Linked DNA regions of Daphnia pulex. The protein of the gene in region 7 interacts with the protein of the main gene of each other region in a pairwise test. Links are inferred from orthologs where the notes say so. Each region holds a gene or a part of one and is shown on either strand. Other genes may lie near its edges.

What was found.
Region 1: the proteins of huntingtin-like (region 7) and osteoclast-stimulating factor 1-like interact in binary tests that used the Homo sapiens proteins (3 or more experiments, as listed by UniProt). The link is inferred for Daphnia pulex from reciprocal best matches to the Homo sapiens genes HTT and OSTF1.
Region 2: the proteins of huntingtin-like (region 7) and nuclear factor NF-kappa-B p100 subunit-like interact in binary tests that used the Homo sapiens proteins (3 or more experiments, as listed by UniProt). The link is inferred for Daphnia pulex from reciprocal best matches to the Homo sapiens genes HTT and NFKB1.
Region 3: the proteins of huntingtin-like (region 7) and transcription elongation regulator 1-like interact in binary tests that used the Homo sapiens proteins (3 or more experiments, as listed by UniProt). The link is inferred for Daphnia pulex from reciprocal best matches to the Homo sapiens genes HTT and TCERG1.
Region 4: the proteins of huntingtin-like (region 7) and 26S proteasome non-ATPase regulatory subunit 4-like interact in binary tests that used the Homo sapiens proteins (3 or more experiments, as listed by UniProt). The link is inferred for Daphnia pulex from reciprocal best matches to the Homo sapiens genes HTT and PSMD4.
Region 5: the proteins of huntingtin-like (region 7) and coatomer subunit beta-like interact in binary tests that used the Homo sapiens proteins (3 or more experiments, as listed by UniProt). The link is inferred for Daphnia pulex from reciprocal best matches to the Homo sapiens genes HTT and COPB1.
Region 6: the proteins of huntingtin-like (region 7) and serrate RNA effector molecule homolog interact in binary tests that used the Homo sapiens proteins (3 or more experiments, as listed by UniProt). The link is inferred for Daphnia pulex from reciprocal best matches to the Homo sapiens genes HTT and SRRT.

Annotation. Positions count from the first base shown.
Region 1 is NC_060022.1:6,869,850-6,873,274, reverse strand, and holds osteoclast-stimulating factor 1-like, read left to right. Parts: upstream 1-1,491; 5' UTR 1,492-1,646; coding exon 1,647-1,680; intron 1,681-1,773; coding exon 1,774-1,820; intron 1,821-1,900; coding exon 1,901-2,018; intron 2,019-2,101; coding exon 2,102-2,205; intron 2,206-2,269; coding exon 2,270-2,377; intron 2,378-2,444; coding exon 2,445-2,681; 3' UTR 2,682-2,925; downstream 2,926-3,425.
Region 2 is NC_060019.1:3,340,688-3,344,861, forward strand, and holds the start of nuclear factor NF-kappa-B p100 subunit-like, read right to left. Parts: upstream 2,801-4,174; 5' UTR 2,589-2,800; intron 2,492-2,588; exon of another isoform or gene 2,464-2,491; 5' UTR 2,463-2,463; coding exon 2,333-2,462; intron 2,265-2,332; coding exon 2,089-2,264; intron 1,658-2,088; coding exon 1,479-1,657; intron 1,407-1,478; coding exon 1,292-1,406; intron 1,198-1,291; coding exon 1,059-1,197; intron 99-1,058; coding exon 1-98.
Region 3 is NC_060019.1:12,732,122-12,736,353, reverse strand, and holds the start of transcription elongation regulator 1-like, read left to right. Parts: upstream 1-1,432; 5' UTR 1,433-1,582; coding exon 1,583-1,592; intron 1,593-1,682; coding exon 1,683-2,155; intron 2,156-2,219; coding exon 2,220-2,379; intron 2,380-2,443; coding exon 2,444-2,685; intron 2,686-2,750; coding exon 2,751-2,796; intron 2,797-2,853; coding exon 2,854-2,934; intron 2,935-3,002; coding exon 3,003-3,097; intron 3,098-3,158; coding exon 3,159-3,291; intron 3,292-3,349; coding exon 3,350-3,575; intron 3,576-3,636; coding exon 3,637-3,782; intron 3,783-3,842; coding exon 3,843-3,947; intron 3,948-4,003; coding exon 4,004-4,140; intron 4,141-4,203; coding exon 4,204-4,232. UniProt on the Homo sapiens protein: Transcription factor that binds RNA polymerase II and inhibits the elongation of transcripts from target promoters. Regulates transcription elongation in a TATA box-dependent manner.
Region 4 is NC_060020.1:3,405,142-3,409,062, forward strand, and holds 26S proteasome non-ATPase regulatory subunit 4-like, read left to right. Parts: upstream 1-1,488; 5' UTR 1,489-1,615; coding exon 1,616-1,641; intron 1,642-1,830; coding exon 1,831-1,971; intron 1,972-2,038; coding exon 2,039-2,150; intron 2,151-2,213; coding exon 2,214-2,369; intron 2,370-2,437; coding exon 2,438-2,525; intron 2,526-2,588; coding exon 2,589-2,716; intron 2,717-2,778; coding exon 2,779-3,067; intron 3,068-3,132; coding exon 3,133-3,359; 3' UTR 3,360-3,421; downstream 3,422-3,921. Other genes in the region: golgin subfamily A member 7-like, read left to right, coding at 1-17, 193-345, 407-508, 755-811; vesicle transport protein SEC20-like, read right to left, coding at 3,563-3,750, 3,815-3,921. UniProt on the Homo sapiens protein: Component of the 26S proteasome, a multiprotein complex involved in the ATP-dependent degradation of ubiquitinated proteins.
Region 5 is NC_060020.1:2,118,638-2,122,886, reverse strand, and holds the start of coatomer subunit beta-like, read left to right. Parts: upstream 1-1,449; 5' UTR 1,450-1,601; intron 1,602-1,756; coding exon 1,757-2,137; intron 2,138-2,201; coding exon 2,202-2,462; intron 2,463-2,525; coding exon 2,526-2,718; intron 2,719-2,788; coding exon 2,789-2,907; intron 2,908-2,965; coding exon 2,966-3,094; intron 3,095-3,158; coding exon 3,159-3,421; intron 3,422-3,493; coding exon 3,494-3,805; intron 3,806-3,868; coding exon 3,869-4,091; intron 4,092-4,151; coding exon 4,152-4,249. Other genes in the region: uncharacterized protein LOC124192347, read right to left, coding at 136-202. UniProt on the Homo sapiens protein: The coatomer is a cytosolic protein complex that binds to dilysine motifs and reversibly associates with Golgi non-clathrin-coated vesicles, which further mediate biosynthetic protein transport from the ER, via the Golgi up to the trans Golgi network.
Region 6 is NC_060024.1:618,478-622,473, forward strand, and holds the start of serrate RNA effector molecule homolog, read left to right. Parts: upstream 1-1,196; 5' UTR 1,197-1,354; exon of another isoform or gene 1,355-1,471; intron 1,472-1,617; 5' UTR 1,618-1,645; coding exon 1,646-1,782; intron 1,783-1,841; coding exon 1,842-2,003; intron 2,004-2,061; coding exon 2,062-2,184; intron 2,185-2,254; coding exon 2,255-2,425; intron 2,426-2,985; coding exon 2,986-3,052; intron 3,053-3,111; coding exon 3,112-3,291; intron 3,292-3,363; coding exon 3,364-3,511; intron 3,512-3,578; coding exon 3,579-3,901; intron 3,902-3,967; coding exon 3,968-3,996. Other genes in the region: uncharacterized protein R102.4-like, read right to left, coding at 107-251, 359-564. UniProt on the Homo sapiens protein: Acts as a mediator between the cap-binding complex (CBC) and the primary microRNAs (miRNAs) processing machinery during cell proliferation.
Region 7 is NC_060020.1:1,047,203-1,050,702, forward strand, and holds part of huntingtin-like, read left to right. Parts: coding exon 1-161; intron 162-223; coding exon 224-328; intron 329-383; coding exon 384-573; intron 574-653; coding exon 654-972; intron 973-1,033; coding exon 1,034-1,154; intron 1,155-1,214; coding exon 1,215-1,400; intron 1,401-1,466; coding exon 1,467-1,590; intron 1,591-1,651; coding exon 1,652-1,770; intron 1,771-1,840; coding exon 1,841-2,072; intron 2,073-2,139; coding exon 2,140-2,337; intron 2,338-2,400; coding exon 2,401-2,588; intron 2,589-2,657; coding exon 2,658-2,844; intron 2,845-2,907; coding exon 2,908-3,055; intron 3,056-3,118; coding exon 3,119-3,203; intron 3,204-3,278; coding exon 3,279-3,441; intron 3,442-3,500.

The DNA.
Region 1 (3,425 bases), on a different chromosome or scaffold from region 7:
TTTCTCATTCAAGAGCTCATCCGAGGGACCCCCGTGCTCTTGAAGAAACAAGAGTAATCGAGTCGACTAAATAAATTTAATTTGATAAGACTGTTTTCCCATGAAATACAAACATTTTATTTTCAAAACTCTAGCGAAAAGTAATATTCGTTAATATATAGTGTACACAGTACACACATTCATATCCATACATACATTCACATTACATATACTATGAGTCATGAAACATGGCGGCCTAAACGGGCCTCATCCGTCAATTTGCACTCTGGTGGGGAAAAGAAAACATTTTCGTTTCGCATTTTGAGGTTTCGCATTTTAGTATGCCCTCCGGCATTTGGTCCCGCGAAACGGTCCAAAAATTTTGGTCCGTTTCGCACAGCCTTTCCGCATTTTAGGCGTTTCGCGTTTCGCGTTTCGCTTTCGCAGTTTAGGGACAGAGCCTGATTTCTCCATTCCCATTCGTGGAAAATGTTCCAATTCCAAATTTGAAAATGCTGTCTCAGACGGCCACTGGATTACGAACTTGTGCTCTAACTTAACTAAGCTATTACTAAGCTTAAATTAGTTAATATTAATAATAATTTATTTTATATAATTCCTTAATATATTATCTCTCCTCTCGCCAACACAAGACTCGAGCCAATCGCATGTCGCCATGCTCGCAAACAGATAAAGGCCTCTTCAGGAAATAAACTAAACAATAAACGAAAGCAAGGGTATGGAAAGATGGATGCCAATGACCATGTTAAATTTCCCATAAGGGGATTCGACGGCAAGCTACTTTGCTACTTTTTTACTAGCGATTTTGTATGGAGGTCGAGTTGAATCAACGCCATCTAGGACGTTGCGAGTTGCGACATATAAACAGTCAACTCGACCTTTTAGTAAAATGAGCAGACGGCCCCTTATGGGAAATTTTTAAAAATGGATGCTGGAAACCATCTCTCCATAGTCCATACTCCATACCACTGACGAAAGGCAAGGCTTTCAAAAAACAGGGTTATATGGTTGGCTGCTGTGCGAAATTGGAAGCGAAAGGAAGCTTCTCGATAAGTCGATTTATTTTTCCACTTGCGGTATTAAAACTAAAACCCTTTGCACTATTATAAGTAAATATATACATATAATAGGCTACAAGCAAATTTGTCAGATGTAATTTTTTCACTCTGATATATAAAATGCAGGAAAAGCTGCGATACGACGAAGGAAAGATAAAATTGTTGAAAAGAATTCAAGAAATGAATATTTATACTTGCATTGCCTACTGCCTACGTTGCTTACTTGCCAGGAGATAAGCAAACAATCTGTACCACTAATTATGCATCGAAAAAGGTTGAGCATGCGGTTTTGTTATTTCCTAATAATTAGTTCTAGACTTCTATGCAATCGCCAATCGGGAGGAAGTTTACAACATGCAATGCAATCCTCTTATCCGCGCCGAAAAGCAGTTTGGTGTTTTGGTCTGCCAGTGAAAAAATTCCGCTAGGTTCGCCCTCTATGAAAAAAACCCCAGTCGTGCCTTATCCTTCCTTATCATTCCCCCTTCATGGCCTTATGGACGTATGAAAAACCATTTTACTTTGGAAAAAACCTAAATTGAAATAAATCTTGTGAATACTTAAAAGTATATTTTCTTTGAATTAAAAATGAATGTACCTCCTCCGAAACCTCCAAAACCAGGTATTAGTAATATTCAACACTTCAATTTACAGTTAAAAAAGTTTTCCCTGCCTCCTCTGTCAATGTGTCAATAATATTGAAATGTCATGACAGGGCAAGTGAAAGTCGTTAAAGCATTATACGCCTATACGGCACAGCATGTAAGTTTTATTTTTTTGCTATACAATTCTAACAATTAAGGCTTCAGAAATAATCTTAATTAACATGCTCATATTCCTAGCCTGATGAACTGTCATTTGAAGAAGGAGAGTTGTTATATGTCATGGAATCCTCCTCAGACCCTAACTGGCTAAAGGCTAAGTGTGGTACCTGTACTGGATTAATTCCCTGCAATTATGGTAACTTGAATCAAATATTGTTATCCATTGAAAAGTGTTATTAAGGAAACAATCAACACATTTTCTGTTTCATTTTCTGTCAGTTGAAGAAAATGCTGAGTTGATAACAATGCCCCTTCATGATGCATGTCGGCGTGGGAATGTCTTATTTTTAGAAGAGGCAATTCTCAATGGAGTGTCTGTGAATGCAAGTTAATTAGCTCCATTTAGGAGTTATAACTGATGCTGAAGTTTCATTATTTTTTTTTAAGCAACTCGATAAAGCAGGTAATACAGCCTTGTTCTGGGCAGCCCATGGAGGACATATTTCTTGCATGCAACTATTACTGCAATCAGAAAAAATTGATTTAAATGCTCAAGTAATTAATTTACCTAATTTTATTATTTATTTTATAATCTAATAGATATTTGTTTATATATACATAGAATAAATTAGGAGACACTGCACTTCATGCTGCTGCTTGGAAAGGTAGAATTGAAGCTGTTAGTTTGCTACTTTCAAGTGGAGCAAAAACAAACATTTTAAATTGTGAAGGGAACAAAGCCTTAGCTCTTTCCAGGGATCCTGAGATTATCAATATGATAGCCAAGCATGATGATAGCCTTATATCAAACAATGTTAGTGAATACTTTGGTAATGCTGAGGAATTGGATTCTGACTGATAAATTATTATGTCTTAATGGAATCAGTTCTTTCTTGAAAAGCAGGCTGAAGTTAACAAACTAAATTTTCATGAAATATCTTTTACATTTACTTCTTTCAATGTGTGCTGTATTTTCAAATTGATTTGTTTATTTTTTATTCACATATAGGAATGTTATTTGTTTTACAACTTGTAAAATGTTCATATTGTTGTGAATCATTGTTTTTAGTTTCGGTGATAAATACATTCAGTAAAAAATAAAATTACCCTAAAAACAAATTCTCAAAAGTATTTTATTTTGATTCTATGTCAAAATTTGTTTGATTCTTCCCGTACAGATTCAGGTTACAAGGTTTGAGATTTTTTTTTCTTTTTTTTTTTATAAAAAAGACGTACTCGAGGTTAGGGCTGAAACACGGGCCATGAATACCAGGCCACTGCCCGGGTTAAAGGGAAAAAAAACAGGAAATGTGTAACCACCACTGAGGTTTTTTGAAACCACTGAGGTATTTTTTTTACGGGACGGGCGCCGGGGCAGCCGGGTCGTATCGCTGGGTCCGCGGGCAAGCCCGAACGGTAGCTAGATGGCGTTGCGGTGAAACTTTTTTTTTTTTTTTTACATTTTTTTTTGTGTCGGTTTCGGCGTGCCAGCAAACGGCAAACCAATGTAAAAAAAAATAAAAAAAAAAAAAAAAAAAAAACTTTTTTAACACATGTAAAAAATTCACCCATTTAGCTCCGGGCTGTATGAATGAAATTTCTG
Region 2 (4,174 bases), on a different chromosome or scaffold from region 7:
GACTTTCTCCACGAAGATGAAAATCTCTTCCTGTCCCGTACAACAACTATAGACCTTATCTATTCGGACGATGCGTAAGTCTCCAGCATGAGTGCTTTCTAGATTTTGAAAAACACGGTAAGATTAGGTTAGAACAGTATTGCTGCGTTAGTAAAATTCCACTTCGTTTAGAAAGACTGAACATCCACTTCATGTTTAGGACTTCCAATCAAATCTCGTATAAATCGAAATTCGAATTCGAGTTTTTCGAAACTTAAGATGAAGTCTAACTTAAATTGACAAAATCCAAATTCGCGGGTCAATTGAATTAATAGAAAATTTGAAGGTGAATATTCATTGAAGTTATTGCGGATATTTTTTTATGTGTACATTAATGCTGATTTCCGTAATTTTTTTAAATAAAATCATATGTAAAAGTATCAAAATGTGTGTCATTCAAAATACTTTATAATCGTTTAAAGAAGCACAGACAGGATAACAATTTTATGGAAACCTTTTAAATTTCGATTTTTGTGCTTTTATTCTTTAAATGATTAAAAAGTAATTTATTTTGTCTGTACTAACCATACAAATGTTTTGTGGATAAAGATCTTAACATAAATTGATTCGAATCGATTTAAATTAATTTTTTTTTACTTGAATCAAATCAATGTGATTTTTTTACAAAAATTCTCAATCCGAAATGAGGTTTCACATGTAAATTGATTTGAGTGGATTCCTACGTTTAACTATTTAAAAATGACTTTGCTACTTGGATTTCGAAGGCGTCATTTTTTACGCTTCTGAAAGTGGAGAGAAATAATCGAAACAATAAAAAAAAGAGAGGTCACCGTTAATTAATAGAAAATGGAATAAAAATGAATAACGCTCAAACTCCTCGGTTATTGTTGTTTTTCCATTAATATACTTAGCTAGTATTAAAAACTACAGTACGTGCATAAAAAAATACGAAATTTAGGACGACGAATTAGATTTTCCGTTTTCCTTTCACGCTTCTTTAACGCGGTAGTTTTAATTAGCAACATTTTCCACTACTATAGATATCTTTTAAAACTTACTTAAATTGTGAATAGCTTGGGAATATTGAGGTGGGCAGATCTGTTCACGAAAACCGTTTTGTTCCACAAAGGCCTCAAACTTTAGTTTAACCGAATGAAGATCCATTGTATTGGCTATCTTGTCTGCTTCGTCCTTCAACTATAATGACCGGGGATGAATGTTAAATAACTTTACTAATGCAACAACAAATAAGACTACTTAAAATAGAATATAATCATTGAAAACTCCATACCTGTTGCCCTTGGTTACGATTCATGGGTGCATTCCCCAGTTCATTTATCAAACGCCTTTCAACCACCTCACGGACTTGTTTTTTCGCTGTGTGTATAATTGTTAAACCGGAGAAACTTTAAAACAAAATATTTAAAAAAATTTATTATTACTATTATTAACAATTTTATTGAGTAGCCTATACATACGTTGCAGTCCATTCGTTTTTACCAGCGGAGACTATCATTTCTTGGTATTCTCCTTCGTTCCCATTGTTCCCATTGGAGTTTCCTTCCCCTCCAAGACGATGGACATGTGGAACAGGTTTTGAACTGTTTGTAACTAATGTACAACGAATAATAGCTTCTCGATCTTGACAGCCTTCCAACTAAAGACAGTCATTTAGTAATACTGGCATTAATATTAATTCTAAATAATTGTGAATAATTGGCAAAATGAAAATATACCAATACAAAACTGACTAATTCTAACACAACTAATATGTGTGACAGAAATAAGTGTCAACTGAAAAAGTTGAAATACAGTTCTATAGGTGGAATTATCGTACACTGTTTTACAACGGCATAACATTAAACGCAATAGCAGGAATCGCTTGGCGTTAACCCCTACCTCTCTTTTTAAATTAAGGTATTCTGACTTCTGAGTTATAAAGTGGAGATTAAAGATCAACAGTTTTGAATGATAATTCAACCCATATATAATTTACTACAACCTAGTAATTATAATTAAATACTTAAGATTCCAGATTTGAAATTATGGATGAGTTGGTAAATATTTACATTAGCAAGTGAAACATACTTGAACACGAATATATTCTTTTTTGTTCCGTTCCTTGCTTTCTGCCATAAGACATCCATGTGTTCCAGTCATTTCAGAGGCATAACGAAAACGAAACTTCCCTTGTGGTTGATTAAGTATAGATAAACATGGGGATAGCCTGCCTGGTCTGATAGGAATTGAACTGGGAGAATTTCCTGTAATAAAATGAATCCATATTTTACACAATTTTAACATAAATTCATTCTAAAAAACTGCTGATTACCCATGTAGGCACTGTTTGGTGAGGCACACATCATAGGAGAGTTTCCACTGGAGAAGCTGTGGCTTATCGGAGAACTTGAGGAATGTGATGATTCAGGTGAGTAAGGACTACTACCAATTGGTTGATGCATTCTTCATAATTTTAATTTTAATAATCATACTTATTAAATAACATTTGATTATATGTTAAAGAGATATAAATGATATAATGTATATCAACAGTCAACACAGTTCATAAGATACACAACGGAACTAACCTTGAATACACGAAAGAATTCTCGTATTAATTCAACGCAAACGAATTAGCTAAAAATCATTTCGATTTGCGTGTTATATTCAACAAAGACCGTTCAAACTGGAGCCTTTCACAAAGTTACAAAGTTTTATAAGTAAATTTAGCACTGCTCGCGCAATCTTTAGCCTGAAGCTTCATTGATATGACAGAAGGGGAAAACCCATGTGTATAAACAAAACTTTCGATTATATTCCATAGTCGGAGTTGTAAAACCTAAGACCTCTGTCGGCGTAAAATTGAAACACAAACAATTATAAATTGTAAAAAGTTAAAAACCTTTAAAGTAAAAAATTAATTTCTCAGCTAATTTATATTTAATATTTTTTTAAACTTTCATATGAAGCCGTAGTTTTTCTTTGGATAAATAAAAATGTGAATTTGACAACACAAAAAAAAATCTGCCGCAGCGGACAGCGCCATAACTCTCCGCTTCTTAAATGTACATTCTAATTCCATACGCTATGTTTTCGAAAACTGGTGGGTTTTTCCCCTTTATTTGTGGATACATTGCCTCATGTTGCACTCGAGAGACGTCCACTTTCCCAGTCCATAAATGTGTAATAAACAAACTTTCGGTGGTATGCACATGTTACGTTTCATATCTCGACTTTGATTCCAACACCAAAGATTAGCATGGCAAGTCGCTGGTGCATTCATTAAATCAAATGTTATCGAATATTATATGCAAACAGCAATGACGTGCGCAAATTTTGCAATATTTAAAATAATATAGTATGGTATTTAGAATATTCCATGCACAATACCGTTGAAAACGTTCATTTTTAAAATAGGCTACAATTACTTTTATAACAAAATTTATTTACAGGTGTTTATAATCAGACCCCTCGTTCGCTTTCGAGTTTCCAACTTGGTCTGGGTCTGACCTCTTTTGAATTTTTTTAACTCGTTTGTTTTTAATAAATTAAATTAAATAGTTTTAGATTCTTGCTAGGGAATTAAGAATTTATGGTCAGTACACTTCTAAGGCTTATCATCAAAATGACCGCCATAATCTTGTCGGGGATAGCATGTAAGAAGGGTAAACAACTAAAGAATAATTTTAATATAAAATAGACTAGATTGTATTTGGGCTTGAAGTAAAAATTAAAAGATGACCAATTGAGTAACACATCTAACGGTACAGGCAATAAGTGGGAAATACTTAAATATAGGTACAAAAATATTAAAAAATTGCGAATAACATTGCACCGTGCGACTTGCGTAGCAAGGTTCCCTCCGGGCTTTTGGTGCAAGAAACGGAATGCAGATCCCTTGCTTCGCACGCGAAGTATAGAAAGAAGTACAATTGAAAATAATATATTTACTTCCCACAGAGAAGCAGTAACGGGCGTGCAGCACAAAGATTTCAGATTTTCAGGTACTTAAATCACAGATAAAGACACCATAAGTCTTCTTTATCTATGCTTAAATTAGAGCTATAGACTCCTAAAATCTTTGTGCTGCACGCCCGTTACTGCTTCTCTGTGGGAAGTAAATATATTATTTTCAATACTTCTATGAGAAAATGTCTTTGCAAACGAGAGAGGG
Region 3 (4,232 bases), on a different chromosome or scaffold from region 7:
TTAGCTAGTCATCTAATTCAATTGGTCACCTGCTGCTTTTAGATATTAATATTAGGTAGAGGCTTTCCTTTGCATCACTACACATTTCCTGGTGAAATGTGGGATTTCTCACAGTTATTAGACATGGCATCAAACCATGACCTAACTTAAGTTTTTTTTTTTTCTTTTTTATTGGAAAATGTTATTTATACCCATCATTTTCAAGCCTTGACTGAAGGAACTTGTGTTCATAAATCGTTAAATTATTATCTTTCATATCAATCACTACCCGTAAAAGGACCTGTTGGAACACCTATATTGCAACCAAGTTGTGTTGTTGGTTCTACTTTGCATTCACAGGAGAAGAAAAAGCCAATTTTTCCACATATTTTCAAAAATTTATAAAGACAATCATTCACTCACCTTTTCCTACTGAACTGTTATTTCTTATCATCTTTGTTCATCAGCTTTCATATTTTTAAAAATTTATCTCTTTTTACAACAGACATTTATTCTTGTAAATTTAGGATTTCATGATCCAAGTAGACAAGCTCAGCTCGTGACAATTTATAACATTATTCTAACGTATTTCATGCGTTTAGAGTTATGATACCTGAACCACATTTTTATCACATCCTTTGCCAAATGAATGTCTAGATCAAAGTATGAGTCTGATGGCAATATCATTCAATTGCGCTCAACTCACGCTACCAACCAGGTCAAGACATATGAGTGACTGATCTCTTCATATTCTATACTACATGTTACCTTCAAGCATTTAATTATATATCAATGTTACATAGATTAGAATATTAAATAGTACTATATAAACCCCGACATGTTACTTAAAACCTCCCTTTTTAAATGTTCTATTTCTATCCAAAAATTGGAGCAACTTATATTGATACTCTCCTTCCCGCGCGAGTGGAATTTATACTTTTTATACGATTTATACTCAATGTCTTGAGAGGTGATATAACATGTATAACATAACGAACACCATCACAGTTTAACTGGTAGATGAGTGATCCAAGTCAGATCCTTTATTGGCTTTTTTCTTTGTTAACATTTCAATATTAATGCAATATTGCCAATACATAACTGACCCCACACAACAGTTGCGCAATCGTTTCATCTAATTGGACATTTTCTGCATGAACACCTCACTAAACAATTTAATAACTTTTCAAGAATTCGAAGAAAGCGGTAGCAAAAGCTATTAAAAGGATCTTAACGTCTAGCCATGGCTTAGCACGGTCGGCAAACTCTATGTCTTCCCTAAATTATTTTTTTTTTGGCCAAGAAAATCTTTGTAATGTGTGTAATAAAGCGATACAAAACTCCAAATACTTAAAACGCGATGAACTAAAGAATTGGTAAAATCATCCATAAGCTAAACTATTTGAACATGAAAGAATTTCGCGCTAATTTTGCTTTGCTTGTTCACCACCCTCTACCGTCAGTTTGGTAAACTACCGTCACTTTAGTAATGGTCGTCAAAAATGCTGTGACTCAAGCAAATCTCACATCGCCGGAATAGAAATTTTGTTTAAATAAAAGTTGTTGACAATAATCATTCTTTCTGGTATCTGAATTATCTACAATGGATAGCGGTAAATATATCTGATGGATTATTATACGACACTTCCTCTAGAAAAAGCAAGATTCGTTACTTACTAGTTTATTTGAACGTTGTCTTGCAGGGTCCGAAAACAACGATTCATTTTTCATCGAGGGACCCTCTAACACTGGCCCTAATGCAAATGAGGAGAATTTCGCCGATGATGGAGACTTTGGCCCACCCATGTCTTATCAACAACAGCATTATGGTGGACCTAGAGGCCCACCAGGAATGGGGCCTAGAGGACCGATGGGCATGAGACCTGGCATGAGACCATTTGGTGGAGGTGGTCCAATGGGCCCCCGTCCACCGTTTATGCAGAGAGGACCACCAGGAGGACATGGTGGATTCCATGGCCCCCGTCCAGGTCCACCTCAGCGTTTCCAAGGCCCACCACCAAGAGGTATGGGCCCGATGGGAGGGCCACGAGGGCCACCTCCAAATATGATGCAGGGCTATAGTGATTATCCTCGACAGATGAGACCCCATTTTTCACAGGAACAGAATGGTGGTCGCAATGGCGATTCAATGGATGGCTCTGGTGGATGGGATATGGTAAGTCAGGAAATGTTGCCTCTGTTGACAGTAGTCCAATAACTCACAAACATCTTACTTACAGCAAGGTCCACCTAATCAACCAAACGGTGGTGGCATGGGCTACATGGGTGGCCCACCACAACAAGGACCACCTCCGAGTTATGGTAATGTACCACCTCCCCATAATCAACATTATGGAAATATGCCTCCTCAACAGCCTACAGCACATGGATACGGTAACGGTAAGTTGTCTTGAAATGTGTTTAGTTTTTCATGGTACTCAACTTTCACTAATGGATTACATAGGTGGTCATCCTGGTTATCCTGGATCTGGGATGGCTCCTGCACCTGGTGGATACCAGCAACCCCATCAGTCTCAACCGCAATCTCATCTAGCTCCAGTTAGTGAAATCGACGCATCAACTGACGAAGTCTGGGTTGAAACGAAAGCAGGAGATGGTAAATCATATTATTATCATGCTAAATCAAGAGAGACTACTTGGACTAGACCCGAGGGGCCGAACGTAAAGGTTTTGACACAGCAGCAGGTAATTCGTAAAATCAGTCATCTTTCCTAAATAGAACCTGAACTTATTTTATTATTCACTCCTAGGTTGAAGCAATGGCACAGTCTGCAGCATCAAAGCCCCCAGAAAATGGTAAGATCATTTATAATTGCCCTTAAAACGAAACTTATTTTTATATTTAAATGGCAGGAGTGGCTATGCCAACTGGACCAACTCAAGGTGGTAGCTATGGACCTGGAGCTCAACAGCCATTCTATCCAGCACATCAAGGTCTGTATTCATTTTAGTTTCATTTTAACTAGAGTAGAAATAATATTAAGGGTTTTTTAAATTTCCAGGTTGGAACATGGGGGGTGCAGTGGCTCCAACACCTGCACCTGCATTGTCGGCTGGACCTGTTCCATATCCCGTTATGTTGGGATCTGATCCAGGGGTAATCATCTTTTGACCAAGTTTTTATCCAGTACAAATTTTTAATGCGTTTTGTTTTTCAGACTGATCCCATACTATTGTCACAAGCAATGGAATGGTGCGAATACCGTTCTCCTGATGGCAAGCCTTATTACTTTAATGTGAAATCATCATCGAGTGTTTGGGAAAAACCACAGGCTTTGAAAGATTATGAAGGTAATTCCCAACTTATTATTGTTTGTTCTGTTTTTCTCAAGTTTTCTCTTTGTTGTAGTGGCTCGCCTTGCCGCAGCAGCCCGAGTTCATGCCACTCCTTCTGTCCCAATTGCCCAACCCGTTCAGCCTGCTTCAATGCCCGAGGTTGCGAAAAAAGAGGAACCCAAAGTCTCCGAATCTGAAAAGGCAGAACCAGCGAAAGAAACAAAGGAAAAAGAGGAAGTTAAAGTACCGAAAGACAAGAGCAGACCCGTTTCTAGCACTCCGGTGCCTGGAACTCCATGGTACGATTGGTTTTAAAGGAGTTTAGTTACAATATATACAACTATTATTATTATCATGAAGGTGCGTTGTTTGGACTGGTGACGGAAGAGTATTCTTTTTCAATCCAAGTACCCGTTCTTCCGTCTGGGAGAAACCAGAAGATTTGAAAAACCGACCTGACGTCGACAAGTTGATAGCGAATGTCCCCGATGACAGTCCTCAACAAGGTATCAATATCTACTCTTTAAATTTGAAATGTGGCACTCGTAACGTTTTTATCCTTGCAGTTGATAAGAAAGATGAAATTAAAGAAATCAAGCCAGATAAAAAGAAGAAAAGCGAAAGCGGAACCGATGAACCTCCTCTAAAGAAATCCAAAATCAATGACGAAGGTAACATCATTCAAATTTTCCAAAGACAATTTAATGAAAAGAATCTCTATTTACAGTCATTGAAGAGGTTAGAATCGAAGAACCTACCAAAGATACTGCCATGGAGGCTGAGGTGAAAGCTGCTCAGCAGAGAGCTGTGATTCCCCTCGAGGATCGTGTTCAGCAGTTTAAAGCCATGTTGGCAGAGAAAGAGGTAGCGCAAGTGCAAAACTTTGTTTGTTTTCATTCATCACGTAGTATTGAAATTTTATTTTAGGTTTCCGCTTTCTCAACCTGGGAAAAAGA
Region 4 (3,921 bases), about 2.4 Mb from region 7:
CAGAACTGGAAGGGAAGGTAAGAAAATAAATGTTTTTCATTTTGTTTAATGTTCAGGGTTGAATAGCAGTCAAAATAAATAATCGGTGTGTGTGCATGTTGGATTGTGCACTCATGCCAGAATTATTTATATACAGTTATTATCATTATCAAATCATTTTAATTGTTCTAATACTGTATTCATTTGTTTTAGATTGAAAGGGAAAAATTTGAGTACACTCTTAATACTCTTAATGAGGTATATGCAGAAGCAGAAAAAATGAGTTGTAGCTCATGCTGTGAGGGATGTTTCGCATGCTTGACTGCATACTTGCTATACTGTTGTAGTGATACTCATTTTGAGAAGGCAAGTCCAGTAAGAATCTACTTCTCTAGATTTTGACTTTAATCATCCTTTTTTTTTATAGTGTTTGAAGAAGGTGGCCAAATTTATCATTGAACAAAATGAAAGAGTTTATGTACCTAGAGGACTACTGATTATTGACCCTGTTGAACGAGGACTCAGAGTTGTATCCTTTTAAAAAAAACTTAGTTAATTGCTACTAGGTTGTATGTTTTATTCTTAAGTAGCACATTTAAAAATTATAGCAAAATACCTAGTATCAATCATATTAAATCAAATGGTAAAAAACCTAAAATCGTTAGATGTGGTAATACTTAGTTTCACATAATTTTAATTTAACATAATTTTACTGAATATTTTTATCTATACGCCATTCATACATAAACATTCCTTAACTTAATTATCTCTACAGATTGAAATTTGCATTTTCAGCGACAATCCTGCTTCTACACCTGCCAGGAACAACTAAATTTATGAAGACATCCTTGTATCTATATATTTGTAATTATGAACTTGAGTTTTCCTTTTTCATATTCCCATCCTAAGTTTGTGTAAACATGTGCTCATCATCATTAACTACCTAGATATTGTAAAATGAATAAATTGTGAAATGTGATTTGAATACTGATCCTTTGAAACAAATTGGTTTTGTCGTCATTTACCGCTTCCTTTATATCCAAACGTAAGTGAATTGTGCTACCGCGTATGGAAGCGCAAATAGGTGATAAATAAAACGTAGAAATTTGTGTAAGATCTAAATTGGTGAACTGGTAATTTTAAATACTGCAAATTTAAATCCATTAAAAACCCAAGCAGGAGCTAACAGATTTTGTTAGATTAACTAATTTATTTACTATTGAAGTTTCTGATTTTTATCTAAGTGTTTGTTTTATTTCAACTTGCTCATAAATTCAGTTCTGTTTATGTATCTAGTGCGTAAATTAATAATTAATTACAAAAGAAAATTCGCTGTCCGTCACGGCATCCAACTAGTTAAGAAGTAGCTACAAGAATTACAAAATGGTTATAAATTAACTTCTCTCCGCGAGAAGTATAAATTCTGAAAGAAAGATTAGGCTGAAAAATTTTAATCATCCTAAAAAAGGATTAGTAGATCAGACTGGAACAGAAGTACAGAACGAGGAACGGACCAACCAAAACTCGGGAAATTCAGAATCGTGATAAATTCGTTTTCTTTGGTTTCCTGGCAACCCCGCATGAATTGTCACAAATTTACATCGACTGAACAACTTTTTTCATCGAGAAAGCAAAAATGGTGCTCGAAAGTACTATGATCTGGTAAATAAATCCGGTTTCTATCTTATCTTAAATTTGAAAATTGGTAAAGTAACAGTTAAGGGTCATATCATTCCAAATTATGGGAGTAATTTTTTTGTTTTGGATTATCTATTTGCTCTACTTGAGGAGTGAATTTTAGGCTTGTTGACTTGCAATTTTCTGAGTTAATGCGGCATTTTTAAATTTTAGTGTGGATAACAGCGAGTTCATGCGAAATGGAGATTTCATTCCTAGCCGACTCCAAGCCCAGCAAGATGCTGTTAATATGGTTTGTCATTCAAAAACAAGATCTAACCCAGAAAATAATGTTGGTCTACTGACATTGGCCAAGTATGCATTTCGCTAAGTTGTACGGCAATTTGTTCTCTAACTGATGTGTTGCCTCACTAAATTTCAGCACCAAGGTACTGGCAACATTGACTACAGATGCTGGGCGTATACTATCAAAGCTTCATCAAGTGCAGCCAGAAGGCTCAATCAATCTCCTAACAGGAGTTAGAATTGCCCATGTAATATTTATTTTGAAGTATTGTGTTCTTGAGTTATCTAATATTAATTTACCTGTCTAATAGCTCGCTCTTAAACATCGGCAAGGGAAAAATCATCGAACTAGAATTGTAGTATTCATAGGTTCCCCCCTGAATTTCGATGAAAAGGAATTGAACAAATTGGCCAGAAAACTGAAGAAAGAAAAAGTTAATGTTGATATCATTTGCTTTGGGGAGGAAGTGAGTTCTTTCTTTGTTTTTTAAATAACTATTTCGGTAATTTCTTACATGATTTTGGATTTTATTAGAATGGAGGAACTGAAGTGCTGGCTAGTTTTATCAATACTCTTAATGGCAAAGATGGCACTGGCAGTCATTTAGTTACCATTCCACCCGGTAATTTTACAAATCCTTTTAAAGGATGTATATATTTTTACAGTATCAATTTTTTGTTTAAAGGGCCCCATCTTGCCGATGCGCTGATTTCCTCACCAGTCATTCAAGGAGAAGATGGTACAGGAGCGGTTGGAATGGGGGCTGGAGGTTTTGAATTTGTCGATCCTAATGAAGATCCTGAATTAGCTCTCGTAAGTGTTATCACTATTTAAATAGTTTATTATTTCATTTTAAAATTATTTTCTTATTAAAGGCGTTACGAGTGTCGATGGAGGAGCAGCGTCAGCGTCAAGAGGACGAAGCTCGTCGTTCGGGAAATCCGCCGGCTACAGAGCCCGCTGCAGCTACCACTATTGGCGGTGCCCCTGCTTCCAACGAAGATGCTATGCTCGAGCGTGCGTTGGCTATGTCTATGGATCAACCAAGTGTCAATACAACTGTAGCCAGTGCCGCCCCTGCAGCACCCGTTTATCCCGATTTCGCAACAATGACTGAAGAGGAACAAATTGCATATGCAATGCAAATGTCCATGGCAGAAGCTCGTAAGTTCTTTGTAAGGTGATATGTTGTTGCGGTTTGTAGACTAATAATTTAATATAAAATTCAGAGGGACCAGTAAAAACGGAAACCGAAGCTATGGAAGTAGAACCAACGCCAGCAGCTGCGGCTAGTGATGATTATGATGAAGTTATGAAAGATCCCGAATTTCTTCAGAGTGTCCTAGAAACGCTTCCAGGTGTTGATCCTTCAAGTGATGCTGTACAATCTGCCGTCGACGCTTTGCGAAACCAAGATAAAGACAAAAAGCAAGGCAAAAAGCCTGACTCCAAGTAAACAGATTGATTTCTTACGCGTCGCGAATGTTTGAATCCGGAATAAATTGATTTTCATCTGTTCATTACGTCTGCATTTAATGTAATGCGGAAGGTGTTTTGTTCGGTTGGCACATAACTGCGTAATTGATTATTCTAGGATGTTTTCGTATTTTTCTGAACTGAATAAAGAAACTCAAAAAATCTTGATGTACAAATTTATCTCTAGAACATGCGCTTTTGAATGACATATACACAAGCTGCAAAGAATGCAGCCAAAGCTAGAATAATTAAAATCAAATCGGTCGTCTCTCTCCGTCCAAACCGGGAGACCAACTTTTTTGTGGTTGTTAAGGCGCTTCCCATAACTTTAAACTCATCCTGATTGTCACTCACAGCATGTGATGATTGAGCTACACAATATATTAATTTATAGTATTGATTAAATTTAAAAAAAAATGGATTAATTGTTCATACCAAGTACTTCTAGAGTTCCTCTATTTTGCTCCAGAACACTAGCCATGGATTGACTTATACTTCTCAAATTGGCAGTCACATTGGTTGACATTTTGATAAGTTCCTCT
Region 5 (4,249 bases), about 1.1 Mb from region 7:
TGGTAAGGGGCAAGGCACTTGGAAGCGATAGCAATACAATAACAGTTATCAGAAAACTTAGCGTGAGAGTTTCCGAGTAAGGTTATTTGAAGGGTAAAATTACGACATTAACGGACTTTTCAGTGAATTCCTTACCTTCACTGAAATGTGACAAAACAGGCGATACAAACAAAAAAACTAAAAATAGAAGGAACAATCGCATGATGAACTCTCAACAGCGAATGACGACACCCCAATTAAAAATGAACTCGAAAATCAGAAAGTCTTGTATACTGGCCGATGACTTGGAGCCGTCTGTTCACTAACAGCAGTTGTCTTTCTTTATAGCTAGCTGTAACATCATGCTCTGTGGTGCCTGTGAGGAAAAAATCAAATGTCTTTCCGATTGCCGGTGGCGTCAAAAGAAGAAGACCCTAGTTTCCCTCTTACGGGAAAGCGTGATGTTTATCTATCGTGAGGATGGCCTCATTCTACCCACACGCTTTTTTTAAATATAAGATAATTTCTTTTACGTTGAAAATATAACATGTTTGCATTATAAAACGTTTTTTAAAAATTTAAAGATATTTTACTTGAATACTTGAACTTTTTTTAGATGGAAGGCCTACCAACACAAAAAAAACAAATTTTAAGGAAAGATCATCGTAGACGCAACAATGATAGTCGCGGAAATTTCCATGATTCCTTTTGCTCAATGCCTCAGTTAGTTTAAAACGATGAAAATAAATAATAAATGAAAAGTATCCTGAACAAACATAATTACATTTGATGCTAATAACATAAAACATAAATATTTAATATCGATTAGCTATAGGCTACAGTGAGCCGAGCGAACCAACGAAGTAACGACCATATTAAACGTATTAAAGCTGGTAACTACGAAATAGAGATATAACGGCCAGTACCTTCGGATGCTAATCGTTTCCAATTCTAATTTTCTGTGATTAATGGCAAGACGATTAATATGCAATCTGCATATTGTGAAGCAGTGAAGGTATGGAGATTGTGGCCATCTGCACATTCTATTTCGAACGAACATTTCTATTATCAAATAACTAAGAACAAATTGTATCGTCTCTTAAAGGCTTTGCCGATTAAATGGACGAAAAATTCTAACTAACTCCCATCAAAATACCTTTACACATTGAAAACAAACTGACCATTGCCGAAGATGGAGACGTGACTGGTGCTGGTCTTCAAACCTGCTTCAAACGTGTCGAAGAAGTTCACAGTGGTTCAGAGAAACATGGGTGACGATGACTAGGCAGTTGACACATTGTTTATCCGGGAAACCCACAAAAACTCTTGTTTTGATGGTACAGAGAGAGAGTATGCCTGGAAAATCTGGAAACCAACACAAGCTGGGACTGAATATCTATTTTGAATAAAAATAACAAAAAAACAACGTCAAAATTAAAACTCATAATGGCAACATGGCTGCGTGGTTGTCAATTTTACGAATTAAGATCTGTCGCTTACCGACTGACGTGGGTATTTTCTGACATTCTGCAACGTCAAAGGTTTCGTGAATTTCCTTCGTTTCATATAGTTACGGCTCACACAGAAAACACAACAAGCCGTTGTAATACAAAGAAATCAAGGCAAGTCATCCGACATTTTGGAATCGTTATTCAGTGTTCAACAAATACCATCGTTATAGATTTCGAATGGGTTGCGGGTCGCTGTCACAATAACATTTCATCGAGCGTAAACCGGTCCAAGTTTTCACGATTCATGTATTGTTTTGTTTTTACAGATGTCTGTGACTGAGCAACCTTGTTATACCCTCATCAGTACTCCAGATTCTGACTATCCACCTCCAGATCAGCTGCGAAAAGAGTTGGAAATTGGAGATATCAAAGCCAAGATTGATGCTTTAAAAAAGGCCATTTACATAATTTTAAATGGAGAAAAGATTCCAGGAATCCTCATGGCAGTGGTCAAATTTGTGCTGCCACTTCAGGATCATAATGTCAAGAAACTTCTGTTGATATTCTGGGAAATCATTCCAAAGACTTCAGCAGATGGAAAACTCTTGCATGAAATGATTCTCGTCTGTGATGCTTACAGGAGAGATTTGCAACATCCAAATGAATTTATTAGAGGATCAACATTACGTTTTCTTTGCAAGCTTAAGGTAAGCCAATTTCTTTTATACCTTAATTTATTGATAAGCTAATCTTTTGTAATTTACTTTTTAGGAACCTGAAATCTTAGAACCGTTGATGCCATCGATCAGGTCGTGTTTGGAGCACCGACATTCTTACGTTCGACGCAATGCTGTTTTGGCAATTTACACAATTTACCGCAATTTTGATTTCCTCATTCCTGACGGGCCAGAATTGATTGCCAATTTTCTAGAACGTGAACAGGACATGTCCTGTAAACGTAATGCATTCATGATGTTGATTCACGCTGACCAAGAAAGGGCGCTCTCCTATCTTACCTCTTGCATCGATCAAGTAATAGAACTATTTTAAGGTTTCCAATTTCCAAACAAACTTAAGGAAAACAAAATCTGTTAGGTTCACTCCTTCGGTGATATTCTGCAATTGGTCATCGTTGAACTTATCTACAAAGTGTGTCACGCCAATCCTAGTGAGCGATCGCGTTTCATTCGTTGTATCTACAGTCTCTTGAATGCCACCAGTCCGGCCGTTCGCTACGAAGCTGCTGGCACTCTAGTAACCTTATCGTCCGCACCGTCGGCTATTAAAGGTATTATTCATATTCACTAATATTTAATTTGGGTTTCCAACTTAATATGTTTTCTCTTCTTCTTGAACAGCTGCTGCTAGTTGCTACATCGAAATTATCTTAAAGGAAAGCGACAATAATGTGAAGTTGATTGTGCTGGATCGTTTGATCGCCTTGAAAGAGCAGCCGAATCAAGAACGTGTCTTGCAGGTATCTTGAATTTAATCATTCACATGTTACAAAATATTAATTATGTAATTCATTTCAGGAATTGGTGATGGACATCTTGCGGGTATTGGCTACTCCAGATTTGGAAGTACGAAAGAAGACACTATCCCTTATACTTGATTTAGTGTCTTCGCGAAACATAGAAGATATCGTGCTCGTTTTGAAAAAGGTAAGAATTCCGGTGAAATGGTAAATCGATAGGAATAATTTTCTATTGATGAATTATCTTGTAGGAGGTAACAAAGACGCACAACACAACCGAGCATGAAGATACGGGAAAGTATCGGCAACTTTTGGTGCGCACTCTTCACTCGTGTTGCATCAAGTTTCCTGACATTTCTGCGACCGTCATCCCTGTACTGACTGAATTCCTTTCCGACACCAACGAGCTAGCAGCCGCCGATGTTTTGGTCTTTGTTCGCGAAGCGATTCAGAAGTTCGAAGGACTTCGTCCATTAATCATCGAAAAACTTTTAGAAGCCTTTCTTTCCATCAAGTAAGTTTAAATAACTCCATTTCGTTTTTACTGGCAGCAATTCTACATTAGATGTTTTTTTTTTTTTCAAAGATCCGTCAAGGTGCACCGTGCAGCAATTTGGATCTTGGGCGAATACGCCACTTCGGCTGATGACATTCGTTCAGTTATGTCCAAAGTGCGACAATCGCTTGGCGAAATTCCAATCGTGGATGACGAAATCCGAAAAGCAGCAGGAGAGCAGACCGATCCGGAAAATCCTTTAGCACAGGGAACTGGGAGCGTTACTAATCCTGTTGCTTCTAGCGCCCGCTTGGTAACTGCAGATGGTACATACGCTACGCAGTCTATCTTCAGTGCTGCCGTAACAACCGCCAAAAAAGAAGAAAGGCCTCCTCTTCGAAAGTATGTCAATTCTGTTGATGTCGTTCCATTTAGCATTGCATTCATAATTAAATTTCTTTGTAGATATCTGATGGAAGGCGATTTCTTCATTGGTGCATCAATGGCTACAACTATGACAAAGCTGGCCTTACGTTTTGTTCAACAAGTGTCGAACCCGCAAACGCAAAACCAGTTTTGTGCCGAAGCCATGCTAGTGATTGCAGCGATTCTTCATTTGGGTCGTTCGGGACTGCCTCAGAAACCAATTAGCAATGACGATGCTGAAAGATTGGGGCTTTGCCTTAAGGTAAGTTATCAATGGTAAAAAATGAGTGAACCCCCATTACAATTTTCTTTTTCGACATAGGTGCTCTCGGATCGATCACCGATTTTAGTAGAAGTATTTACCGATGCCTGCCGTAGATCCATTTCACTTATGTTAGCTGCCAAAGCTGAGGAAGAAGC
Region 6 (3,996 bases), on a different chromosome or scaffold from region 7:
CAACAATACTACGTTTGTAATGATCGTTACATGGAATAAAGCACTTATGAAGCTTCCAGTTTACTTATACAGCGTTACTTTGATTGATTTCATCAAAAACATACCCTTATTTGTCTTGAGCGAGATTGATGTCTTCAGGTGGGTTACTGCAGTGAACAACAATTATGATGTTCGTTTCAGTCATCGGGTAAGCAAGCCAACGAATATCTTGACCGATCCCGTGAACTTCCTTTTCAGTAGATTCAGCAAATCTTTTCACAATTGAATTAGGGGTAGCACCTGATATGGGCTCGACTTTTAGCATAACCATATTCGTCTCTACGGTATATCGATCAACTTCCACAACGCTTTTTCCAACCTCTTGCGCAGTAACAGCCAATTGACCAATTGTTTGGTGAAAATATGATCTTGAGCTACCCTGGTAGGTCCCTTTGAAAGTGACAAAATTCCGGCTGCGGCCAAAATACCCGCCTGCCGCATTCCTCCTCCAAGTGCTTTTCGACAACGATGAGCCTGAGTATGAGTGTTATTGAATACCTCCAGTTCATGTTGATATCCATCCATGGTTGATATTTTAATAGATGGAATTTATGTTGCATAAAGGGCCGATTTCACAGCAAATGACACTGCATCATAAGGGTTCTCTCCACATTCATGATCTATTTTAATGCCATTAAAATGATTCATGAGAAATTGTTGATTGGTGGAAAAATGAGAAATTGATGATTGGTGGAAATATTGACAAATTCCCCCCAAAAAACCTAAACCCCGTGAAAAAAACACCCTATCGGGAAACTCGCGCGCGAAGCAAGGGATCGGCATGTGTACACACTACGAACGGTGCGATGGTTTAGCCTAGCATGTGGCGCCACGACAATTTAATTTATCATTAGATCAATTAAAGCTATAATTAGGATTAAAATATAAAATTCATAACAAATACAAAATAAATAATAGAATGTAATAGCTAGTTGAATCTTGCTTTTGCCAATGGTGTTAATAAAAAAATCTTTAAGACTACTTTCTTACTAGGTACATTAGAAGTTTAATTCATAAATGATCCAATTATTAGAAAAAAACATTGGTGAAAATATATTTTTTTGTTATCTTATTAGTTATTACAAGAAATTAACTAGCTTAGCGCTTAGCGGCCTTAGCCTATGTCGCTTGTCAGTTGTCTCTCAGCCCAAGCCATGTTCTTCAGTTACTGATTATTCAAATCATAAGGCAGTAACAGTTTTACCCTGCAGGCGACAGCACTTGTATTCCTCAAACTTTCGTTGGCACCAACGGGCAACGGCGTTCTCAGTTTTCTTCTGATCGCGTGGCGAAATCAAACTAAACGCAAATTTGGGTAAAGTTCGAAGAAGATATGAAATTTATGAACATCAATAGTTTTATAGCGAGTTCTGTAACTTTGTGTGTGAAATTAAGTTTTTTATTTTACTTGCGTTGGTATTTGAGTATGCCGGTACATCGAATTGTTCTTATCAAAAATCATCTGCATTTTCGGCCATATTGCCACTTAGTTGGCAGTACTTTTACTTATTAGTTGATTAATTGATGCTTAATATTATAAAACATTAAACTAAAGTTTCCTCTTTTTTTTCTCCATAGCTTAAGAAGTAGGTCACCAACCTGTACCATGGGGGACAGTGATGATGATTATGATCGTCGCAGAAGGGATAAGTTTAGAGGAGAACGAAGTGAGTACCGGGGAGCTGGAGAATCTGGAAGGAGAGAAGAAAGAGGCAATCCTAGGAGAGAAGAGTGGAATGATAGGTTGGTTTGACAAATGCTCTGTTATTTTTAAGCTGTTTAGTCCAATGCATGTTTCAAAGTAGAGGCATCATGGAACCGAGAAGAGGTGAATCTTGGTCTCAAAGAGGGTCTCGTTCTCAACCACGTCACGAATATCGCGAATCTTACAGAGGTCGTGAAAGATACAGCCCAGCAGGTGGGTATGATGCACCACAAGCTCCAAAAAGGATGAGGCCTGACTGGTATGTTTTTCATACTAATATTATGCTGCCATTTATTAATCTTGTAAAATGGTTTTAGGGAAGACAGGCGCTATGGATTTGATGCTGGTTATGGGCCCAACATTGGCTCTTCATGGGGTCAGAATGAACCAGTCATTAATACTCCACCAAACGCTGGAAACTTTAGTGGATCTTCTTCAAGGTAATGTTTTTATGGTAATTGTTAGTTGTGTAGGGTTAATAATAATAATAAATAATGCCTGATTTTCCAGAGGGGAAGAATTTCCTACTCAACCACCAATGATGTCCTTTAAAGCTTTTCTGGCTGCCCACGATGATTCAATCTCTGACGAAGAAGCAGTTAAAAAGTATGCCGAGTACAAGCTAGAATTTCGTCGTCAGCAGCTGAATGAATTTTTCACAAGCCACAAGGATGAAGAGTGGTATGTTTTTGCTTGTTTTTTTTCTTGTTTTTACAAGTGTTAATATCAAATTTAATCAATATTTTAAGAATTTCTTATAAGTTTTCTTTTAAAGACTTGTGTGTTGTGTATTGCATTGAATTTTTCTGGTAACTAAATTATTTATAAGTTTTGCCGCGTGTAATCGGATTTCGGATAACCAATTTACATATATTTAATCCCCCCTGTTTTTCAGCCGATTGACATAGCTGCTATTGACGTCCCTCCGTTTATTTCAACCATCTCCGACCTTTCTATAAGGTGCCATACCATCTGTCAAAAGCTACTTGAAAATCAATTTTTTAACTGTGTGAACATGAAATGAACAGATCTCCAAAGTGTGCGTTAGAGTAGGGTTCAACTGCGCGCAATGCAGTGGTCAGTTAGTAGCTAGGTTATAAAAAATCCGTACCGGGAGAACAGGTGAGGGAAATCTTGGCCTCTTGAAAAGTGTGGTCCCTAGCTGGTTATTTTAATTCGAAGTTTTCAACATTAATTCTGTTACTAATTTGTTTTATTATATTTTCCTCGAACGAATGTAGGTTTAAGTTGAAATATCACCCGGAAGAGAATCAAAAACGGAAGAACGAGCATAAAGCTCATATTGAAGTAAGTTGTCTCTAATTTTGACAGATTCTGGTTGTAACTAATCAATTAATTCAATATAGTTACGCATGAAAACTATTTTGGATTTAATGGCTGAGGGTTCTTTTGATCAAGTGACTATCGATGCGGATCAGTCAGAAAAGCTAGTAAAACTTCTTGACACCGTGGTAATTAAACTCGAAGGTGGGAATGAGTTAGATCTTCAGGTCCTTGACAACCCTCCTCAACCAACCGCCGATAAGGTTTGTCTATTTAATTTCCTTTAATTGGTTATAACTGATTTTTTAAAAATCATTTCACTTTCATAATTGAAGCAGCCTATTAAAATCCAAGAGAAGGTTATCAAGGAGATTGAAGATAAAGAAAATGATGATTTGGGCGAAGGCGACGATGCTAAAGAAGATGGTGTGATCGAGGACTCCAAAATGGAAATTAGCTCTGACCCAAAAAGTCCTAATAACAGTAGGAATTCATTGTTATTAATTTTTGACGCACTGCCTTACCAGTATTTTTTATATTTATTTTATAGGTGGCAAAAGAAAACGAAGCGGATTTGAATCGGATAGTGGAAGCGACTGGGAGCGGGAAGGAAAGGAACAATCGGAAATATCTGAAGCTCCTCAAAGCCCTGATGGTAAGCCAGCTGGTGGTGAGGGTAGTCCTAGGGAAACCGAAGCAGCTGATGAAATTCCAGTAAAAGATGATGCCAAAGAAAAAGTTGATGAAGATGAAAGCAAGGAGGAAGAAAAAAAGGAAAATGGCGGGCCAGTTCTTCCCCGAGAATTGCATCGGACTGCCTCCATATTTCTCCGTAATTTGGCACCTACCATTACCAAACTGGAAGTCGAAGCGGTAATGAGAGTTTCTAATTTTTTTTGTTAGATTCAGTTTTCTAATCTTTAGCTTTGTTTAATGAAGATGTGCAAACGGTATCCTGGATTTTTACG
Region 7 (3,500 bases):
ATTCTTTTACATATCATTTCCAGTTTTCAGACAATTTCCAGTGGCATTGTGCACAGAAGAATGTGCAAACTTGTTCTAAACGCAAATTTCACTTCTTCTGAATCTAAGCTTCGTTGTTTGGAAAATGTACAAAAAATCGTTCTTCAGTCAGCTAATCAAAGGTTCTTGGCACTCGCCCACCTACTATCCTACGTTTTATGACATCTTCAATTTTCTTTTTTAGATGGTATTCCGAGATCACAGCAGTTCCAAGCGCTACCTTTGAAAATAGGTCTAGCATGTTGCGAGATATCGACAAGGCGTTTGTGCTGGATTTTGCGTTGAAAAGGTGGTTTAAAAATTATTTTCTGGTTTTATCTTGCTAAATCGTCTTCATAATTTAGGGAGTTAGAACCTTTAATGTGGAGAGAAATCGTCGCTCAGACAAACACAGACGACTTTCCGTTATTGTGCAGCAATCATAGTTTCCTTTTATATGTCCTTGGAAGTCGAATATTGAAATATGATGCTTTTTACCATGCCAAGGCATACCTTTTAAATATGATTACCGCCGAAGCCTTCGACAACTCTAAGGTACGCCGATTTCGGATGCTATTAATTTTTTGAACGGTTTTATCTTTTTATGAAATGAGCATCTCATTTTTTTCCATTAGATCCTGTCAATCGCTCATATTCTCAGTGCATTGTGCAAATCCATCTCACCATCGGAGGTCAACGATATTTTCACTGCATCCGAAATCACCATATTGGCTAAAACACCGCTTACCTTAATTGGTGCGATGGATTCGCTTTCCCATTCGTTAGTTCTTCTACAGGCGTCCTCTGAGATTGTTTCCATATTTGGGCGTGAACTTGCAATTGAATGGACAGACAAAGAGAATCTACCGGCTGTTTACAAGGCAATCCATTGTTTGGAGTCTCTTTGCATTCGGATAAGAAACAATGCAACTCTAGAACAACCTACTATTACCGGTAAATATCCTAAATTGTCTTCTTTAGTTGAAGATTTGATAACGAACGAATTTTCATTTAGGCCTGGAGCAAATGATTTGTCCTGATCCAAACTTTGTTTCGAGTGCGAAACAATTAAACCGAATACTTAGATTTATCGAACAAGAATCAAACATTCCAGGAATACTTCATCAAGACTTACTGTAAATTGTATTTCTGAATATTGATAAATCAATTCATTAAGATTTTTCTACTATTTTCAGGTCGACTGTTACTGTGTTTTGTCGAATGCCACTCTTCTATTCCTATATTTGCATTCCGCCATCCGCTTGGAGCAAAGGCTGGAATCCTGAGCTAAATTTGGATGTCGAACATATCACATTGGATCTACCAATAATCCCTTCACATTTTCTGCATGATGAAGTTGTTTTAAAAGAATTCGTTTTCCGGTAATTTTGGGACATTTTCTTATAAATGGATCTTGGATCATGCTGACTGCTTACTTATTCTTAAAGAATCGAGCAAATTAGCTGGATTACCAAAAAGAAATTTGAAGAAATTTGGATGACTTTTCTTGGCATTTTGAACTTACACAATGAGGATCAAGTGAGACCCGAAGAACAAGCAAGCGTCATCCAGGTATCATAACAGAGTTGGTAATTTTTTCTTACAATTTTTGAAAAACCATTTGAATTCAAAGGCTACATGTGAAGCCGTGCGAGCTCTTACAATGGTGCTTCAAAAAAATCTACCATTTAAGACGCCAAGATCTGTGAAAAATAATGAACTAGACAAGCCTCCTGAGTTCACGTCAACTGAGTAAAGCCAATGTGTTATTTAATCTCGCTTAATTATAGCTAATTGTCAATATTTTTAATGGATATTGTAGAAGGGGCAAGAAGCTGAAAGAACTCTGCAATTTGCTAGAAGAAGATTACACGATATCATCTTCCTGCAGTTATTGGCTCAATCGTCACTCCTTCAGACACATTCAATATAATATTGATCAAGGTTCACCATCCAAAAAGAAGGCTACTAGTCCCGAAGATGTTACAGATATAGATATCCAATCCTGTGTTCGCTTCTTAGTGGATCTCTACTCACAGTGGCTTCAGAATTCGGTAACCTTAATCTTCTATGTAGAAAATAATGATATTTTTCTTCAACATTTTCTTTTTTTTTCTCAAGAATACGCCGTACCCGCTGCTAGTGGACTTGTTTCAATCCCTAGTGCACATATCAAACTTCTTTGTCGATGTTCAACAGTTTGAGTGGATGCTGGATAACTCCTTAACCTTACACAGGCAACTTCTTCCTGATGATCCTGCGAGCTTAGAGTCCGCTTTAGTAGGGTGCATCTTGAAATCTGCTTCTTTTATACCCATGGTACAAAATTCATCTGAAATCTGAAGTTTTGTGATAATGTATTGTTATTTTTTCATGTCTCAGAATATGGAATACTGGGAATTAGTAAAAAAGCACTGTGAAACCGCATTGAATTCCCAGCATATTTCCACGCGAACTAGTGGATTAAATGGTCTTTTGTATCTACTTCAAAAGTTTGCCAGAAATCCAGATCTTGCTCGTACAGGCACTCTCGTCAACCTGGCTATGGATTATGTCGGTAAATGTCTCAGGTTGGTGTGATTCATCTCTTTACGTTTAAAGAAATTTGTCTGTTTATTTATTTGAAATATCATATTAAGCCCTGAACACAATGGTCCGACCTGGCATCAGTCCTTCGTTTGGTCAATAGCGTTCTATTGCGGCGAACATTTTGCAGTATTGCCCTATCAGAATTATGCTGTCGTCGATTTTGTTGTTCAGTGCGCTCTTAGTAGGCTTGTGCAAAACGAACAACAATCAAACGAGATCCCAAAAGAAATTTTACAGGTATTTCGTGAATTTATTGAAGATCTTATGTTGTAGGCTAATCTCGTTATTGATTCGTTATAGGGATTAGAACGGCTGAGCATTCTAGGCGTATTGACTCCGATTTGGCGAACGCAAGTTAAAAAAGAGGTTCTCAATTTAATACGCAATGTTGATTGTGATTGGATTCTACAGCCAGCACTACGAACTCTGCTGTCATTAGTCTATTCAGGTATAGGGTTTCATGCTGACTCTGTTTTTTCACTCCTCTCAAACCAATATTTACTTTTTCAAGATTTTGGTAGCCAATTGTATAAACCTGGAGCAGATCCTGAAACGATGCTCGCCGCTATGGAATGGGTGGGCGCCCTGTTCCAACGGTAAAGCTGAATAAGATGATTCTTGTTTACTTAGTTATTAATTTGTATCTGTTTCTTAATTTTCCATTTCCTCAGAATGAAGCGCGGAACAGATCTAGAGGCGGAGCTTTTGGGGCGAATTATGCCCGTCATAACCTGTGATATTTTCCCACCAGCAGACATCTTGAATCGTATTTTAAGTGAATTTATAACGGCAAGACCCACAGTTGCCTGTTGTTTAACTCCAACCATTTTCAAAGTAAGTCGTGGAACGTAGAATTTGTGTGGCATTGTCAACTGCCAAGATGTTTACTCTCT